Linked DNA regions of Danio rerio. The protein of the gene in region 2 purifies or fractionates together with the protein of the main gene of each other region. This does not show direct contact. Links are inferred from orthologs where the notes say so. Each region holds a gene or a part of one and is shown on either strand. Other genes may lie near its edges. The genes, in order: nip7, nop2, nop56, nifk and rrs1.

Region 1 (4,123 bases), on a different chromosome or scaffold from region 2:
AATATTTTAATTTTCTATGAATTTATGCGATTTTTAAATATTTCTAGGTTTTCTGTATTTTCTGATGAAATGTGATACTTTATAATAAAACATTTTAACTATTAAAAAAATACATGTGTATTTAAAAAAATAGAATGAATTATTAATGACCCAAAATGCAATAAAAAAATTTAAATACCAAGAAATACTTTATGAAAATTCATAGAAAATGTAAATATTTAGTTTGCAGGATATTACTTTTGTGCTTTAGTTTTCATGTTAAAAACCTGCCTGTGAAAATGTAGATTATTAAAACAAAAAAAGTCACTCTAACAATTTGCACCGAATTTATTGAACCATGTTTAAGTTTGATGCCGATGTCTCTTAATTTACTGAAAATTGGAAATTAGTCTGAAAGTTTGAAGTTAGTCTTGCTAAACAAACTATTAAAAACTGCACATCGACACAGGTTTACCTTAACATTACTTTTAACTAGTTTCTGTAAGATGTCATTTGGTCTGGTATTGTTTCCTACTTTGCCCTGTGTTCTTTTATAAGCAGAAGACAATAACCTGCAAAAAAAATAAAAATAAAAATAAATAAAAATCACATCACAAAATTCTAAATCTTGACTTAATTTAGTATTTCTTTAATACAGAAATGGTTAACAGAAACTCACATATGTATTTAGACATTGAAAAGAAGGCAACAGGGTGAAAAATGATGACAATAATGCTTTGAATTCAAAGCATGTCACGCCTATAAGATGGAAGAAAAAAATAAAGGTATCCAATCGCCAGAATGTAATGAACCGTCCATGCCAAACTGAGCAATGATATCGTCTTATGTCAGAGTATCTTCACTTCTGATATATTCTCCAATATCAGCCTGATGGAAAACCACAATAGCCATGGGGTCGACTTTCCTGCACTCCTGTGTTGTTCTCGCTGCAACTCCAAAACCCTGAAATCAGATGAAAACGGTAAAACAACAGCATACTTCTCCCAAACATTACCAGAGTTATAAGACTTTCAAAAAGAAGTGTAGGAATATCTTACGAGTGGTACGTCAGCCATTGAATACACCAGCACTCCCTGGTACTTGTCTGTGTTTTCTGTGATTCTGCCCAGGCCGGACTTCATGATGTGGTTTCCGTACAGGAATGATTGCTCCGATCCCGGCTTCACCCACACCTTAAACTACATCACATCACATTGTGTATTACTGATATGAAAACAGCCAGTTTGTTGCAAGTTGAAATGAAAGAGAAGTTTTGATTGTTGATAACTATTCCTTATTGTGATGTACAGTTTAGGTAAAACTGCTTCATGAGTGAATAAAAAGTAGGGCGAGACTTGATTGTCCAAATAGATGGAAACTAATTTGATGGTTGTGGTTTGCACGATACTGGAATTTTAAAAATATGTAAATTTCCTGCTGTTGAGCGCATTCTTAAACAGGGCTGATTTGCCGTTGTGTTCACATGCTCAACAGAAATGACTGTGATTGGCCTCGAAGCTCAACAGATCACAGAATTCACTGCTGTTTACTGCGTGTAACAACAGATACAGGAACACTGATTTTTATTAAGTAAAACTGGCCTTAGACGTTTTTTTTTGTTTTTTTTTACTTATTTATATGACATGGACATCACAATTACACTGGACAAGAGGGTTAGGCGATGTCAATAAATTTGGCATTGCAAGTTGTCTAATGTGAAACATCGCGATGGGCGATGGCATCATCATCTTGTAAAAAGCAGGGCCGAGGGGGTTGAGCTTGATAGAGTGCACGCGGAGCGAGGAGGGATCCGAGGGTGAGAAGGACGCGCAACTTATTTGAGGAGCGGGAGGGAGCCACACGATTATCACTCGTTTTGCGGGCATTATGAGTCCCGCAAATGCAAAGAGACTTCCGGAACTTCCAGAATCCCAACTTCCAGGAGACTTGGAATGTCTGAATATCACGTTTAACAACTATAGTGAGACGCGATTCAGTGCTACATCCTTCATAAACTGTCCGACATGCACTGCTCTCTGGAGCTCAGAGGAGCGCATGACAGTGTGTGTGTGTGTGTGTCTGTGTGGTCACGTGATGTGCGTTTTCAGCGGATGGAGGGCTGTTCAGAAATGTTTTTATAGAAATGTCACATACCCTGCCGTAAGTTCAGGTGTAGTTCACTGTCAGAATGCAGTTGTTTTGCTTGATGATTACCCAGGCCTTGTATAACGTTAGCTACGTCTTTTTTCCTTGTCTTTGGCTAGGCAGAACCTCGGTTTTTAATGAGATTGAGATTAATTAGAATCATCAATGAAATTGTATATTTGGAGCTGGATGCTTCGCCATTTTGTTTTATCCAATATCCATTGGGATCCTATCGCAAATGGACCAGTCAGATGAACGCTGCTCACTTTAACGTTAATTTTGCCGAATCACTGTGCTTATCACTGGGTGACAAGCTGTTAGACTACGTTGAAAGCATTATGTAAATAATAATTATTCGATATAAATTATTTTTAAGACAACAACGAACTCTACCGTATCGGATGTCATTCCCTCGCTGTAAATGCTAGCGCTCCCTGTTTTTTTTTCTGCCACCTGCCTGTGCGCGCATCTTGAATGGTTACAAACATCGTAATTCATCTATATAGTAGGCCTATAGGTGTGTAATTTTCACTAAAGAAGATAAATTATACCAGAACTATGTTAATATATACAAAAAACGGTATCGGTCGATACTCAGAATTTTGGCATCGAGATGAGATCGGTTCCAAAAGAATGGTATCGGTGCATCCCTATTTGTGATTTTTATTCCTTTTTTTGCAAACTTTGAAAAGATTTGTTTCCTGTTAGGATGCTAAACCGGCTATGGTTACTGTAAAAAAATTTACATGATCAAAACTAAATATGTACCTTAGCATACGGTGCGAGGAAATCGAGAGCTGTGATGTGCAGGCGGAACTTTTGTGTCTTCGTGAACTTTCCGAAACACGTGCCAACTGATACCAGTTTATCTCTGGAGACATTTGTTGCCAACTTCAGGATTTTTTCACTAAAATGGAAAACAAATAAATTACAGATTACTTATTCACATTTGCAACTTTCATACATTTTATCATCTGTAGCTCTTTTTACCATCGAGAGATGTAGCTAAAGATGGACCTCTTTTATTGGTGGATTTTCAATACAGCATCATGGGTAATGTAGTTTTTTCCACACAAATTCCGCTACTATACACGACATTTCTGAAAATTATTTAGATTACTTTGAACAAATTGGATCAACAAAAGTTTATGAGATATATTAAAAACTCATTCCATTTGAAGAAAATTAATGGATTTTTTTTTACTTGCAGAAAAGTATTGTGCTCTATTCTGTTCACTTTGAGGTCAACTATATGTAAATGTACTGCTAAATACTGAATAAATTGAGACCTAAATATTAATTACTTGTATGGTCAAAATCCAATTAACTTTGTTTAAGATCTATCTCTCCGATTGGTGGATTTTCAATACAGCATCATGGGTAATCTAGTTTTTTCTACACAAATTCCGCTACTACACATGACATTTCTGAAAATTATTTAGATTAATTTGAACAAATTGGATCAACAAAAGTTTATGAGAACTCATTCCATTTGAAGAAAATTAAAGTTTTTTTTTACTTGCAGAAAAGTATTGTGCTCTATTCTGTTCACTTTGAGGTCAACTATATGTAAATATGTAAATGTACTTCTAAATTGAGACCTAAATATTAATTACTTGTTTAGTCAAAAGCCAATTAACTTGGTTAAAGATCTATCTCTCTGATTGGTGGATTTTCAATATGGCATTATGGGTAATGTAGGTTTTCTGCATGAATTCAGCTATTACACATTGTTGTTCTGAAAATATTTCCATTAATTTGAACAATCAACATAGGCATATAAAATTAATTCCCTATGGAGAAAATGATTGTGTTTTGCTTTAATTGCAGAAAAGTGCCCTATTCTGTTCAACTATATGCAAGTGTACTTCCAAATACTGACTAAATTACTCTGGGACCTAAATATTAATTACTCGTCTAGTTAAAAGCCAATTCACTACTTAAAGGAGCAGAACATTTCAACAGGAAAAGCTAGCTCACATTATACTTTATTTATTTT
Region 2 (4,186 bases):
GAAAATAAAGGCAGTGTAAAAACTACATAGACTATTTCAATGTGGTGATGTCATTGTCTCATGAAAACTTCCTGCTTGTTTTCAACTAAAACAGAAATAATAATCCAACTATTTTTTGACTGTTAAGCCAATTCAATGATAACTTTACATTAAAACACCTTCCATATGATTATCCCAATATATATATATATATATATATTTTTTTTTTTTTTTTAATTCTCGGAAGCAATGAAAATTATGATAATGTAAATTAGGAAATGAATCAATGCTATTGTTATTGTTTACATCCCTCAAAATAGTCTATATTATAGCACTTCAGTTCATATGAACCAGTTAATGACATCTGGCAATGTCAAAACTTCCCCCGATACAAATATTAGTTTCACTGGTTTAAACAAAAATTACATACCTCTTCTCCATCACTGTCTTTTTCATCACCTTCATCAGCACCATAGTCATCAACCATATCTTCATCATCATCATCTTCATTCTTTATATCCTTGTGATCAAATGTCTGCTCATTATCGGCATCATCATCATCTTCCCATTGGCTGTCACTATCCTCATCTTCCTCAGATTGTTCAATCTTTCGCTTCCTCTGTGCAGGTTTCAGCCACTCTTTATTCTCATCAGAAAAACCTGAAATATGCATAAATTGATTAGCAAACTTGAGTATAATGACACTATTATTCCATTAGTTTCAATTTTAAAAGGAGCCTTTAATATTTAAAAAATCACTTTATAAGGGGTTTAAACACAGTTGTGTGGTAACCGTGTGTGAATATAGCCTGCCTCAACAGTAAAAATTACTAAGTCTATTCTTAAACACCTAATAAAAAAGCTTGCAAAAACATTTTGATTGACATTTTTGCTTTGCACTTGTCAATAGGGAGAAATTCCCTCCCATTAGTGACAAATCTCTCCCTCAATGGATTAAACAGACACAAGAGAAAAGCAGCTGTCCACCTTTAATCTCCTACTACGGTGAAACATGGGTGTTTATAGCTCCACCCTCTTTTGAAAAGAGTGCTGGGAACACCATCCCATTTAAATTTAAAGGGACAGTCATCAATACAGCACAATTTGGATCAAGCCTAAAGCTGTTGACTGTCCTGGCAATATTCACTCATTTCAGCATTTTGAGTTTACTCGCTTCATTTGCTCATCAAATTCACTTCACAACAGACGTGGATTAGCATCATGGGCGGGGGATTCTGTCTGCCCAATGACTCTAGCTTCATTGCTAAATGGCTAACATGGATTTTATTGAGAAAACTGCTGTTTCTGTGCTTTCGGAGAACTAAAATAAAACAGCGTCAATTCGTTTGGAGCCATGTCTGCGTCCACTAAATCCATTCAGTGGTGCACCCAGCTCTGCGAGTTCTTCAACTCCTCCAGAAAATGTACCTGGACGATGGAAGCTTCCAGCGGTGGTTCTGAGTGAGCTGAGCCCAGTTTGATGAACTATTGTCGGCGTCGGCAGGAGGATTTTTCCCCGGGAGACCAACAACAGGTGCTACGTCATAATCCTGCGATGTGTGCGCCAATCGCTCAACTCGCAACGCTTCATGCGTATAAATCACATCATTTGCTCCATGTCATTCACGCGTATCGTGCCAGAGGATTTCCATCCGCATCGTTAGATTAACTTAACATGTAAAATCACTTACGCTTGACGCTTCTTCAGCATCTTGAGTAAACGCAGCATAAAAGGGGCAGTTTCAAAGAGTTCTAAAAAAAATATTAATGTGGTATTTTGAGCTAAAACTTAACATAAACACTCTAGAAACATCAGCAACTTATTTTACATCTTGTATAATAGTGCATAATAGGTTCCCTTTAAAATGCAATACCTTTTTTGGGCTTTTCCTCTTGTTTAGGCTCTTTGAGCTGCTTGGTAACCTGGGCTCTCTTTGCAGCTCTGCACAAATAAAAAAATACATACAATTAAAAAAAATAAGGTCTCAGTATAGATAAGAAATTATTAAATGTTTTCATATCATGAGAAATTTACCGTTTCCTTGCTCTGCTTGAAAGTTTTTTTGGCCCCTCATCTGTGAAAAGAGACAGTTGAACAAAATTAGAAACTAAATTAAGAATGCAAGCAAGCATGCATTAATTAAGAAAATAACAACAAATTAACATATATTAATATATGTGCCATTTACCATCAGCCAAAAACTTGGAGAGCTCAGTTTCTGCTCCTTTCTGTTTCCTGGCCTTACGTCCTGGTCCTCTTTTCACCTTAATAGTGGGATCCAACTTCCTTCCCATGTTTGACACTTATAAGGTTGTGCTACAGCACTGCTGCAAGTAAAAAAAAAAATCAACATCATTTAACGTCAAGCATATCTCTAAGCTTGCAAACACTACACTGTATATGGATTGTCTCATGTGGCTTTCTTCCAATATACAGTGTATCCCACTTTAAAGTAAAAACACTAATTAATTAAAGTTTTCCCTTGTATTTAAACATATATCTGTCTGTTGTGGTGAGAATTACAACTTTAAAATTACTTTCATAACAGGCTGGTTGATTGTTAGCTAGGAACACGAAACTAGTTTTAACATGTGCCAACATTCATAAGGCCACAAAAATATTAAATATTCATATTTAAATTGTTGCAGTAAATGTAAAACCATGTTGAGATTAAACACGATGTGTATTCTGGACACTAACTCGCACGGCTGCGAACTACGAGCCTAACATTAGCTTACTGTGACCTAATAAAGACATTTAAAAAATACTGTAAAAACGGCAGTTATCGGATACTCACAGTTTAACAAAACCGCGTTCCTCAAATTTTCCGACTCTTCTTTAGAACACTCAGTAAATATATAGAGGCTTTAATGTACTAAAGTTACCAGAGAACATGTGCCACTCATACTGCTGTGAACTCGCGCACATGTGACTTCAGCACACGTTGGTTTTCCGGAAGTTGCTAGCGATGCCCGACTCCTGATTCTTGGAGTCAAATCTTTTTAACGAGTCGTTTTTTTCTTCAGCATTTTCAGGCTAATTAAATTTGGTAAACGTTTAATAGAGAAGAAACACAGAACACACAAATAAAACATAATGTTTTATTTACCTTTATTTATTACTTGATTGTGTACTGATAACATATGAACTATTCAGACAAAAAGAGGTGGTTGCAACCACCATACCAGAACACATTACATTTTCAGGGTTAACGTTACCTAAATAACAACACAATGGCAATCACAACTAGACATTTTACAGCATGAATTTGCCTGTATAAAATGTGAAATAATAACACGTAAAAGGCAACAAAATTTTAGCATCAAATGAAATTTTTAATACAAAACACTCAGATATAAAAGTTTATTTAGCTTATTTATTGGCTATAGTCTTAGTAAAATACTGGTCAAACTGAATATTGGTTGCAGCAAACAGGCATAATAAGTTACATCGATTAATTTAAAATAAAAAGAAAAATTTTAACAAACCGTGTGTTGAATCATTAAACCGGTTAAAAACTGTTCAAAGCAACCGATTCTCGTAAACGAATCAGACCCCCCAGTTAACTACTTCCGTCGCGTACATTATGCGAAACAATTCGTCGCTAACTTAGATGTTAAGCGTTTCAATACACGAGTTGCATCTTCGTCTCATCGTATAGATAAACAAATAGTCTTTTTAGCCATGGAAGACGAGTGGGAAGAGGAAGAGCAGATGGTTGTGGCTGAACTGTCAGGAATGATCAACTCTGACTTAATCTCCAATCGGCAAGGCACCTGCAAGATAGTGGACATCGACAGCGAGCAGCCCATGCTGCAAGTCGGCCGGTATCTGTTCACCGGTGAGTACGAGGACGCTATCGGGACATGCGTGATCTTTGAGGAGGACAGGTCATCTTCTAATGCAGCACTTAAATACAAATGTCACACAATGAAGAAACTGATGCTGCAGCGAACGTTTCTGTCAGAGAGGAAAGAAGACGAGCCCGTCTCCAACCGCATAGAGGTGCTGGCTCTCAACGAAGAAGAGTCGTTCGGTCGGAAGAGCGTTTGTCACTACCTGGACCCCATAGAGACGGACAAATCTGTCCTTGACGAATCTAAAGACTGTGAGGACCCAGAGAAGAGCGGTGGATCAGCAGATGAAATGGACGAGACGCTTCTGGAAAACGAGACGATGAACGCCAGCAACTCTCTTTTACCGGAG
Region 3 (3,662 bases), on a different chromosome or scaffold from region 2:
TATATATGTATATATATATATATATATATATATATATATATATATATATATATATATATATATATATATATATTAGCTTTTAGATTTGCTATCTTGTAAACACAGCCCTCTCTGAAACATTTAAAAATACTACTTGTGTATTCTCCATGTACAGAAGTTGCACAACCAAAGTATCAGATTTCTGTTTTTGCATGCTCTGACATCCACTTTCATGTAACAGGTTGGTGCTCGCCTGATCTCTCACGCTGGCAGTTTGACAAACCTGGCCAAATATCCGGCGTCCACCGTGCAGATCCTGGGTGCAGAGAAGGCCCTGTTCAGGTACTGGGGCTCCCCTTCCCTGCTGGGGTTTTACACAGCTGCGGTGATGGCAGGGCCGGGGCGGATCAGGAGCGGGTGATTTGGTGTGTCATTGAACACGCTTTAAGGTGATCCCGCTCAATCTCCCGTACCCCCCAGTCTGAGCAGCTGATGAGGGTTTTGAGAGGTAGATACATCTGAAGACGTTCTGTTGAGAGAGCGCACATGTACAATTACTTCATAGAAAATTACATCTTCAGTTTCTAGTTTAGTAGAATATTTACAGATAATGTATGTCGTGTGATGCTCCAACATATCAGCAGCTGAAAGCATGTGTATTGGTTTTAATATGTTGTCTTGATTGACCAGTTATCAGAAATTTAAAAATGTTTCAAATTGTAAAAAAATCTGCTAGTTATTATATTGAACTAAACTACTTTTGTAATTGTTATTACTCTTGCCTTAAAATAGCCATAAGTTGCTGATGTGGCAAATAAGTAACCTTAACAATGAACAGCAATGATAGTGTTTTTGTCTATATCTAGAAGTTGTCAGTCGCATAGAAGCTCAATTCAGTTACCTTAAGCCAAATAGAATTTCTGAAACATTAGTTTTTGGGTAATTGCAGTTTTTGATTTTTTTTATGGGAAGCAGTTTTGGTGCATCACACAATTGTCAATGCCAAAATTGTGGTGTAGATGGACTTTCTTTTGCTCTTTCCCCTAATTCAGAGCATTGAAGACCAGAGGAAACACGCCTAAGTACGGTCTCATTTTCCACTCGACATTCATCGGGCGCGCAGCTGCCAAAAATAAGGGTCGTATCTCGCGTTACTTGGCCAACAAGTGTACCATCGCATCCCGCATTGACTGCTTTTCTGGTGAGGACCCCTTCTATTATCATTTCAGCCACTTTTTTGCATTTTTGCTATGATGCTTTAATTTTTCGTCAACAGTAACCCACCTCAGTGGTTGTTGAGATGATATTCCTGAGCATAAGTGTGATCAAACGCTTTAGTGGTTTTCTGTTGTGTGGTTTTTCATGATGTTTTTCTTCACTACACACAGAGGTTCCCACAAGTGTGTTTGGTGATAAGCTTCGTGACCAGGTAGAAGAACGTCTGGCCTTCTATGAGACAGGGGAGGCTCCACGAAAGAATCTGGATGTCATGAAAGAAGCTGTTGCACAGGTGAGCCCTCATCCATTGTTCTGGCAACACCAGTATTGTTACAACAGGCAAATGATTTGTTACTTTAAAAAGCTTTATTTTAGTAAGCTAAATGGCTATGAAAGGTTGATTTATAGCAACTAATTTTTTTTTAAGCACCAAAAATGTTTACCAGAATCAAATCTTCCGCCATATTGCATTTTAAGGAAACTTGAGATTATTGCAGTAGTTTGGCATTAGTTCTGAACTAATGTTAAGTAAAATAATTTTTTCTCTTTTTTTATGTTTTAACGGATACATTTTATACAATTGTAGTTTAATTCTGAGAACAGCACTTGTGTACTATTGCTTATCTATATCAAACTATTTATTTATTTTTTGCATAACTTGTATTGGGTCATTTTTAACTGCAGTCTAACAGGTAATGGAGGAATTTACTGTTTTGGCATGTCTTATTAAAAGGTGACTTTCAAAATTCTATCTTTAGCTAAAATTAAAATATTAACATTGACTTATGCCCAACTTGTATATAGATATTTTTTGCCCTCTATTATACCTGTTTCTCACTGCAAATAAAGCAGAAGCAGTGCACTTTAAAAAAATAAAATAAAATCTCTCCCCCCACCAAGGCCCACGACAACTTATGCTGTTAACTTACCCTGCAAGTTTTTAATATCTCATTTTGTTTGTGATCGTCAGCATAACGAAGACCTATAGTTACAGTGATACTTGTACAATATATTTATAATGATATTTATACATGATCGAACTGGTGTGCAACTTAAGCAAAACTAATACTAAAATAGTTTACAATTTAATTTTGTAGTTCGGGCCCAAATAAATATTTGTTGCTGTTAATTGGTTAAGTTACCAGGAGTTTTTAATATATAGGATAGAATTAAAATTCACACAAATATATTCAAAGTTGAATATGATTTATCAAAGTAACTTTTTATTGTAATACGAGTTGCTGATGTGGCAATAAATAAGTTCATTTGATTGAATGTATAAAAAATTAGTGTTTTTATTTGTGTAAATTTATTGGGTAATTCTTTGTTTTTGGTCTTTTATAAATGCTCCATGCCTTTGAGCGTGCTGATGTGCTGCTTCTGCATGCAGTATGAAGCTCTAATCTGTTAACTTGGACGCAGAAAAACACGCTCCGCTCGCACTTGCGGTGTGCAACAGGCGTTAGACGTTAGCATCACCTGTTAAAAGCTAGTAGTGTATATTGTAATTGTTTTAATAGCTAATTCTACCCCTAAAGTGCTGTTTTTACGGTTACTGCAGTTTGAGGATGTGCTGTGAGTGATGACTCTTTCCTCCTGACTCCTACGTGGAGGCGAAAACTGATTTAATGAGCCTGACACAGCACTGTGAATTCATATTCTAATACTCTTGTTCTTGTAGAAATGCAAATACATTTTTTTTTTTTTTTTTTTTTCCCTCGCAGGCTTCTGAGGTGGCTGCTGAAATAAAGCGGAAGCTTGAGAAAAAGGAAAAGAAGAAAAAGAAGCGGCAGAAGAAGCTAGAAGCTCTTTCCACTGCAGAAGGAGATGAGGAAACCAATGGTGATGTTGAGGTACATAGAGTAACCATCTTTAAGCCACAAGTGTTTTTAAATTGGTGTTCAGGGGATTAGGGGTTTGTAGAAATCTTTCATAAAGCAGAATGTTAACTGAGTGTTGGTTTTTATTCAGAAATTACTTGAGAAATGTATTTAAATACTGCAGCTCTAATACAAGGATGTTCAGTGTTTGTCTGAGATGATTAGTCGACCAAAATGTGTGTATTCCATACAAGCTGAAGCTGAGATCTAGTCGCGTGACTCATGGTGCGCTTGTGGGATTCATTCAACTGGGTGCGTTTGGAAGGTGGAAATAACGAATTTGCACACACTCACAATGTGCAAAAGGCCGCTGTCATTTGCGATGTCCTGCAGTTGATCTTGCTCAGACATGGTGGATTCACTTGATTTGTTGACAGGTCTATTCCTTGGCAGTTCATGGGTCCTACACTGGGCCTTTTCCCCCTTAGCAAAGAAACTTTCATATGTTTGTTACTCAGTTTTGTGCTTGTGGGTTAAATTTGCTTGTTTAAAGCACACTAGGTACACACTAGGTACAGTTGCCTTGAACCGGGCCAAAGCACGCTCGTCCCCTCTCCCGTCTCCCCCGACGGCCCGTACTCGCAC
Region 4 (4,346 bases), on a different chromosome or scaffold from region 2:
CACTACAGTAACTGTTGGCACATGGGTTTCATTGCGTGTCAAAGTGACAGACAATAAGCTTAAAATGTACCATTTTCTGTCGGCACAGTTATCTTACTCCAGTTGATGGTTACAACTGAAATAATTTTCAGTATATGCCAAGATACAGAAGTGGTAAAAAAATTAAGCTGAATTAAAATGATTAGACTAACCTCACTGCACACTGAAACATTTGCTTCTGATGGAGCCTTTTTAGCTGGAATCTGTGCTGCCTGCAAACAAAAAAACATGATCAAATTAATGATAACATCTTAAAAGTCCCAACTAAAACATACTCTGACTGTAGTACTTACAAATCCTGGGAAATCATAGTCAATGCCTTTTGCTGCCAGTCTCTTGCGCAGCTTAGACTCTTTGCTTAAAAGCTTTGTGCCAACTTTCTTCACATCATCTTCTGTGTGTGTTTTGTTATACCGAGTCACTGCAGGATACTTTGGCTTCTTGAAGCCAGCAATAGAGCCGACAAAGAGCTTTTCATGAACCTTCTCAGGTGGAATAACGTGACCTGAAAAGTACAATACACAGCATTACTCATAAAAAAACATCACACACAGACAAAAAAAATAATGATTAATAATCTTGTATGCTCTCATCTCACATTTTATAATGCGTTCTCCCATAAGGTAGTTGTTCATGGTTTCAGCCACAATCTTAGCCACTTCATCACACTCAAACTCCACAAATCCATAGCCTTTGCTCCCACCAGTCTGTGAAAGATGACAGTTCAATCATTTATGAGGTAAAACCTCCAGCAAAGCATTATCACCCAATATGACTATTGTGATATTAATGTAGGCACATGGGTTTCATTGCACAACTACATGAAGTTGGCAATAAGCTAAATGTACCGAATTAATGTTGGCACAATAATCTTACCCATCGCAACAAAATGCCAAAGGTAATTTTCAGATTGTGCCTTTTAAACATGTTGTTATATAGAGAAATTAAAAACGAGAAAAAAAAGAAAGAAAAAAAAAACACAAGATCCTGATAGAATGTTTACAGCTACATAAAGAAAAAAGCACACTTCTCTACTATAAAGTTAATGAGAAATGGTTAGAGTATACAATTCAGATGCAGCCGATGATTATCTGAAAGCAACCCGCTGGGAATCAAATAAGATTTCTCTAAAAATCCTCTTAGAATCAAATTGGGCCTCATTGGATTAAACGTATTTATCCAAGAGGATCTTATGCGTTTCTTTATAGGATTCCTTGTAGAATTCTTATTGGTTTGTTTGGAAATTACAGGGCTTTTGCTGATTTTATTTGTAAAACAAAAGTAAAGAAAGCTTAATTCCCTGTGAAATTGGCCAAATGTTATTTAATTTATTATTAAACGAAATATCTGCCAATAAACCCTACGTAAATGAAAAGTTTAATCTAAATTCTGTCATTTACCTCACACTTCTTCCACCTTTCTTCATATTTAACATCAGGTCATTGCAAACCAATGTAACAAAATGCTTAAAACCTTACTCCTGCAAACTCAATCATAAGACTTTATCAAAAGACATTTTACAGATTGTTGAAAACCCAGCCACCACTGGCATCTATAGTAGATGGAGGAAAAGTTGGTTTTATATTTGCACATTTGTTCATTTAGCAGTCTCTATATTGTTTACCACGCTATGTTGAATATCGAGTCTGAACTAGCATGTTTGATTTCAAAACAACATCAACACTATCTAATTCGCTGTGAACAATGCTGTACTTTGTTAGTCATTTGCTGCTAATATGATTTTCCTATTTAAAATTTGCAAAGAATACTTTTCTAAAATTATATTAAGGAGAATGTCTGAATATTCTAATACAAAACCAACTTTACCTCCATCTATAGCAGGAACAACATACTATGGGATTCCATGCTAAGTTCCCAACATTCTTCAAATTGTTTCCTTTTGTGTTCAACAGAGGAGAAAGTAGTGAAAGAGTAATTGATGCAGAATTTTTTGGTGAACTATCCCTTTAAAAAATGTTTAGATATACTAGTACTGGCAAACACAAAATAAAACAATTTATCTAATAAATAAAGCAAGATTTTAACATTTTAACATGTATTAGATTCAGAAAGTCCGCGTTAGAACGTCTTGACCATTTGTATTGAGCAATTTACTTTATATTTAACGTCATGTCATTATAAACTAAGGTAATAAATCAAATGCACGTCATACCTTTTTACTCCTGGAAACTCTCAATCGTAAGACTTTGCCAAACTGCTCAAAGTAAGATTTCAACTGAGGCTCAAACAGTCCTCGAGGAAGATGACCAACATACAGCACTCCTGGACTAAGTGTTTGACCCTGAAAGAGGACCAAAACAAATTATGAAGCGCATTCAATGCAAAACAAAATATTGAATGTAACATGTGCACCGTAAACCAAATAGTAACATTACATTAGCACCGTCAAGTGTAAACAAGACTCATCTTACCGAACTTAACTCTAGCTACAGCATATTAGTGATTAAAAGAAACATTTTGTTCCAACCACGTTTTAAATGTGAATCTGAAGCACTGTCAGGCTAAACTAAGGCCACATGGCCACGCATCATACCGTTTGAGGACGCTTCTTCACTTGCTGCACTTTCTTCTGAAATTCTGCGTCCTCTTTCGGATTCAGAGCCAGCAGTCTTTTCGCCGGCTTGTCTGATGATTTGCCTTCTGTCATATTGAAATCTAACAGTGGTCAAATAAATAAAGCTAAACGTTTTGAACCTACTGTCGTATGGCTTCTCCTAAAACCACGTTGTGCCTCGTTCAGGAAACTGCTAATGCAAGCGACAATTCAAAATAAAAGCCTGCAAAAGCTACAAAATAAAAGTCAACTAAACTCACGGCGTTGACAGTTGTGCTATGTTATGTAATATGTTTTAATAAACGTCTGAGTTTCCTTAAGTTTCTTTAATACTTAATAAATACTGAGTGTGCGTCGTTTGTTTATTATTTTTCTTAATATTTTACTTGTTATAAATTACCTATCTACCCAACGGAGTTGACTAAGGTTGTGCTGTACTATTTATTGTGTTTTAATAAATATTTACATGCTTTTAAATTTCTTTAATACTAGATAAGCAAACAAACAAATCAATAGTGGGTTTGCGTTGTTTGCTTATTAATTATCAAAATATTTTACGTGTTATAAATTACTTATCAACAGCGTTGACTAAGGTTGTGCTTTGCTATTTTTATGTTTTATTAAATATTTACACTGTATAACTTTCTTAAATACTAAAGAAATAAATAAACAAACAAACAAATAAATAGTGAATTTACGTAGTTTGCTTATTGACTAAGGTTTTGCTATGCTATTTATTATGTTTTAATAAATATTTACACTGGATTAAATTTGTTAAATACTAAATAAACAAATAAATAAGGCGGTTAATTCTGTTGTGGCGATCCCAGATTAATAAAGGGACTAAGCCAAAAATTAATGAATGAATAAACAAACAAACAAACAACAAATAAATAGTGGGGTTACGTTGTTTGCTTATTAATTATCTTAATATTTTACTTGTTATAATTTATCTACTCAACGGCATTGACTAAGGTTGTGCTATGCTATTTATTATGTTTTATTAAATATTTACACTGTATTACATTTATTAAATACTAAACAAACAAACAAACAAACAAACAAATAAATAGTGGGTTTACAGTTAGCTTATTAATTATCTTAATATTTTACTTGTTATAAATTACTTATCTACCCAACAGAGTTGACTAAGGCTGTGCTGTACTATTTATTATGTTTTAATAAATATTTACATGCTCTTAAATTTCTTAAATTCTAGATAAACACACAAACAAACAAACAAACAAACAAATCAATAGTGGGTTTGCGTTGTTTGCTTATTAATTATCTTAACATTTTACTTGTAATAAATAACTTATCTACCCAACGGCATTGACCAAGGTTGTGCTGTGCCATTTTATTATGTTTTAATAAATATTTACATCTTCTTAAATGTCCTAAATACTAAATAAATAGGGAGTTCGCTTTGTTTGCATATTAATTATCTTAATATTGCTAATAAATATCTGTGCTATTTATTATGTTTTAATAAATAGTTACATTTTCCTAAATGTCTTAAATATTAAATAAACTCAAGAGTGATTTTACTGTGTTTGCATATTATTTATCTTAATATTGTAGTTGTTGTAAATTACTTATCTCATGTTGTTGTTGTTGTTGTTGTTTTGAATGATACCATTTCTACTCATTGTTTTGTTTAAATAAATTATAATATTGCAAAAAACAATAAAAATACAAAGTAAATAATGCTGAAACTTGTTTGAGTCTTGCC
Region 5 (3,282 bases), on a different chromosome or scaffold from region 2:
TTAAGCTTTAAAAATTATGTATTTTATTTTCGGCTTAGTCCCTTTATTAATCCGGGGTCGCCACAGCAGAATGAACTGCCATCTTTTCCAGTTTATGTTTTATGCAGTGGATGCCCTTCCAGCTGCAACCCATCTCTGGGAAAGCTTTAAGTTATTATTTTATACATATTTGTCACATCACAGATCAGAATAACAGTAGGTTTCATTTTCACATAACACTAAATGACAATACAGCGTTTTTAACTCATATTTTTAATTTCACAAAAGTTATTTAAATCACTAAACAATTTAATTAGATTTAATTTGATTGCTGTAATTAAAAATCACATTTGTGAACTTAGGTAGACACTGAAATGGGATGTCTCCTCTATTTGATGGTATAAGATAAATCTAATCATATTCTTTTCATTAAAATTGCTCAAATACTTTATTAATTGAATCTTAGCTTCAATTTTTTAAGGTGATATTTTAGCTTTATAATTCTAAAATACACATTTGATGATATTTTATATTACATTATAAGAACATACTATTTAAGTACAAATGTTACCCATTAACAGCAGGCTTTGACACATTTATACTCATTTTTAAATAACTTTGGGGATGAAATATAACCTCATTATTCACAATATCCAACCAGGAACTGATGGCAAATCAGAAAGAATTTTAATTTAATGTGAAAACACAATTACGAATGAATAACAGGAGTCAATATTAGATGACATTTATGAAAACGGTTCAATGATCTTAATCCATGACATATGTAGATAAAGCCTAAACACATAAACAAACCCGATTCCTGTACTGAATCAAACTCCAGCCGCAAGGCACTCAAAGTCATGACTTAAGAGAAGTTGAGTCGTGTGCAATATTTATTATATTCTACAATAAACATCATAAGTCCACCACACTGCTTTAAATGTTAGCGCTTTCCTTGCTTCATCTGAGGTTTGCGCCCTTTGCCTTTAGGAGCTTTTCCCTTTCCTCCAGGTTTTCCTTTGCCTTTTCCTTTACCAGGCATGCCTCCCTTGCGTCCCTTCTTTCCAAACCCTTTCTTATTATTCCGAGCAGACTCCGAGTCCTCTTCCCTCATCTGCTTATTCACAGCTTTAGTGATATCGAGACGGGGCTTCTTACTGTCCATCACCTTCAATAAATCCAGCTGTTTTTGCTTCTCGCTACTGAAGTCCCCAATAAGAGGCTGGAATTTCCTCTTCTTCCCAGTGTTTCTGGCTGGTTTTTCCTTGGGCAGCTTCTCCTGGAATTTGCCAACCGATGCGGTGGATATTTTGGCCAGACTGACCGCTTGTGCCAGCTCCGCTTTGGTCTGCTGGGATGTAGGCAGGAGTCCTGTTCCAGGAACCTTGACCTTCTGAGCTCTGGCGATGTTTTTGAGTCTGTTGTACTCGTTTCTGGCCACTCTTTCCTTTTTGGCTTTATTCCTTTTGGCGAACTGGTCTTCGTTTGGATCTGCAGTCGCCGGGACCTCAATCAACCACTCTTTGGTGTCATCTTTGGCACGTTTATACCCCCATCTCCTCTTCCACTCCTTGTGAACTTCATCCCAGACCAAGTTGGTCTTCTTTTTCTTCTGAATGCCTTTCAGCTTGGCAAACTGTTCCCATTTAGTAGGAGGCTTAGGTTTCGGTGCTGGTTTTTCTCTGGGTAGTTTAGTGGTCGGTTCTGGCAGCTTGGCGACGATCACTTCGTCGACTCTCTCTGTGGGTAGTTTCCATATCTCGTTGATGAGAAGTTGTGTGTTGTCTCGCGCTAAAGAGCGAAGACAGTCCTCCCGTTTGTTGCCTTTAAAGTCCCGTGTGTCAAGTCGGTTCTTGTCAAACGCCAGCAAAAGTCCCGGGTCGAATTCAAGATCCAACTCTTTGAGCACCGTAATACTTTTGAGCTTCTCAGCCTCGTCTCTTTCAGCTTTAGCGAGCACGTCTTCAATACTGCACGAAGCCATTTTGGTTCTACTGACAGACAACGTGGGTTCCCACATGTGCCGCTAAAAGCGGAAGTCTGGTATTTCAAAATAAAAGAACTAAAAACTAACTTAAAAAATAAAATAAACATTTCAAATGAGTTAAAGAAATATAACAATCTTTAAACATGTTTTAGCTAGTAAAACGTTTATCCTAAGTGTATATGTTTATGATACTAACTAACTTACTTCGGACGAAAGTTGTTCGGTCGAATGCAGGAGTAGCGATAAACCGACAGGACGTCCCATCGGCTCTGTGGCGCAATGGATAGCGCATTGGACTTCTAGATTGTTGAATGGGGTCATTCAAAGGTTGTGGGTTCGAGTCCCACCAGAGTCGACATTTTTGTGATCAGAATCAATAAAGTGGCCACATGCCAGAAGTTACCTGAAGTGCTCGAAGACATGATTCAAACGAACCTGACTCAGTGATTCAGTTTGTGGATGCGTGAATCTTATAGCCGAACCGAACCGGTGGGTTAAGCATACGGAGCAAATGGTTCGTTTTGATAAAATATTAAATTTATTTAGATATATATCGGTTCTGTGGATGTGTAACCTGGGACAAATGATTGGTTTCTAAATGCCAGTAAAACCTATAAGTGAAACCCATAGTTGTGGTAGAAATATTGATTTATTTATTTTGTTGCAGTTATACACACGCACGGTTGTATTTGTTTTATCATCGACCACTACAAATATCTAAAAATAATTAATTATCCTTAATAATACTTAAATTGTGTTTTTGGTATGATTTTAAAACTGATTTTTTGGATCTGTTTGGATTATATTATTACTGAACAAGTGATACTGAACTGATAATATGATTTCTGAACTGATGCCAATGTTATTCTTGAAAATTCTAACAGAAAAAATCTGGAAATTGCCTCTGCATACAGTATGCAAACAAAAACAAACTTGTTATTATTATTATTATTATAATTATTATTATTATTATTATTATTATTAGTAGTAGTAGTAGTAGTAGTAGTAGTAGTAGTAGTAGTAGTATTTGCATTACTGTTCAGTTACGCAAACAAAATGATCTTTAATTGTAAAATAACAAAAAACTCAAGTCTCCGATATAAAAAAATGAATGTGCTAAAAAATACACTGAATAAAGTCTGTCTACAACAGTTCGAATCAACTTGTTCAGATTGGTCGGCTGGTGAGAACGTCATATCCGCTGCTCGAGTTTCCCCGGGAAGACACTTTGGCGCGGAAATCTGTTGTTTTGGCTTCGCCCTTTGTAAGGAGAGAGAAATTCTACCTCGACTCAACCGCATTTTATATCAATGGCT

The links.
Region 1: the proteins of nop2 (region 2) and nip7 purify together in Homo sapiens (affinity purification with mass spectrometry; 3 studies listed by BioGRID and IntAct, with this or other methods). This does not show direct contact. The link is inferred for Danio rerio from reciprocal best matches to the Homo sapiens genes NOP2 and NIP7.
Region 3: the proteins of nop2 (region 2) and nop56 fractionate together in Homo sapiens (co-fractionation; 3 studies listed by BioGRID and IntAct, with this or other methods). This does not show direct contact. The link is inferred for Danio rerio from reciprocal best matches to the Homo sapiens genes NOP2 and NOP56.
Region 4: the proteins of nop2 (region 2) and nifk fractionate together in Homo sapiens (co-fractionation; 3 studies listed by BioGRID, with this or other methods). This does not show direct contact. The link is inferred for Danio rerio from reciprocal best matches to the Homo sapiens genes NOP2 and NIFK.
Region 5: the proteins of nop2 (region 2) and rrs1 fractionate together in Homo sapiens (co-fractionation; 3 studies listed by BioGRID and IntAct, with this or other methods). This does not show direct contact. The link is inferred for Danio rerio from reciprocal best matches to the Homo sapiens genes NOP2 and RRS1.

The regions. Positions count from the first base shown.
Region 1 is NC_133193.1:7,001,665-7,005,787, forward strand, and holds the end of nip7 (60S ribosome subunit biogenesis protein NIP7 homolog), read right to left. Parts: intron 3,032-4,123; coding exon 2,893-3,031; intron 1,179-2,892; coding exon 1,038-1,178; intron 943-1,037; coding exon 823-942; 3' UTR 617-822; downstream 1-616.
Region 2 is NC_133191.1:17,328,477-17,332,662, forward strand, and holds the start of nop2 (28S rRNA (cytosine(4447)-C(5))-methyltransferase), read right to left. Parts: upstream 2,917-4,186; 5' UTR 2,778-2,916; intron 2,308-2,777; exon of another isoform or gene 2,305-2,307; 5' UTR 2,275-2,304; coding exon 2,169-2,274; intron 2,055-2,168; coding exon 2,015-2,054; intron 1,922-2,014; coding exon 1,854-1,921; intron 640-1,853; coding exon 410-639; intron 1-409. UniProt on the Homo sapiens protein: S-adenosyl-L-methionine-dependent methyltransferase that specifically methylates the C(5) position of cytosine 4447 in 28S rRNA. Required for efficient rRNA processing and 60S ribosomal subunit biogenesis.
Region 3 is NC_133196.1:13,332,456-13,336,117, reverse strand, and holds part of nop56 (nucleolar protein 56), read left to right. Parts: intron 1-220; coding exon 221-321; exon of another isoform or gene 322-487; intron 488-1,031; coding exon 1,032-1,180; intron 1,181-1,367; coding exon 1,368-1,489; intron 1,490-2,771; exon of another isoform or gene 2,772-2,838; intron 2,839-2,921; coding exon 2,922-3,050; exon of another isoform or gene 3,051-3,329; intron 3,330-3,535; exon of another isoform or gene 3,536-3,662. UniProt on the Homo sapiens protein: Involved in the early to middle stages of 60S ribosomal subunit biogenesis. Required for the biogenesis of box C/D snoRNAs such U3, U8 and U14 snoRNAs. Part of the small subunit (SSU) processome, first precursor of the small eukaryotic ribosomal subunit.
Region 4 is NC_133184.1:39,869,823-39,874,168, reverse strand, and holds the start of nifk (MKI67 FHA domain-interacting nucleolar phosphoprotein), read right to left. Parts: upstream 2,815-4,346; 5' UTR 2,708-2,814; coding exon 2,594-2,707; intron 2,342-2,593; coding exon 2,213-2,341; intron 954-2,212; exon of another isoform or gene 827-953; intron 747-826; coding exon 638-746; intron 545-637; coding exon 333-544; intron 252-332; coding exon 192-251; intron 137-191; exon of another isoform or gene 10-136; intron 1-9.
Region 5 is NC_133199.1:27,758,193-27,761,474, forward strand, and holds rrs1 (ribosome biogenesis regulatory protein homolog), read right to left. Parts: upstream 1,973-3,282; 5' UTR 1,964-1,972; coding exon 923-1,963; 3' UTR 645-922; downstream 1-644. Other genes in the region: pola1 (DNA polymerase alpha catalytic subunit), read left to right, coding at 3,277-3,282. UniProt on the Homo sapiens protein: Involved in ribosomal large subunit assembly. May regulate the localization of the 5S RNP/5S ribonucleoprotein particle to the nucleolus.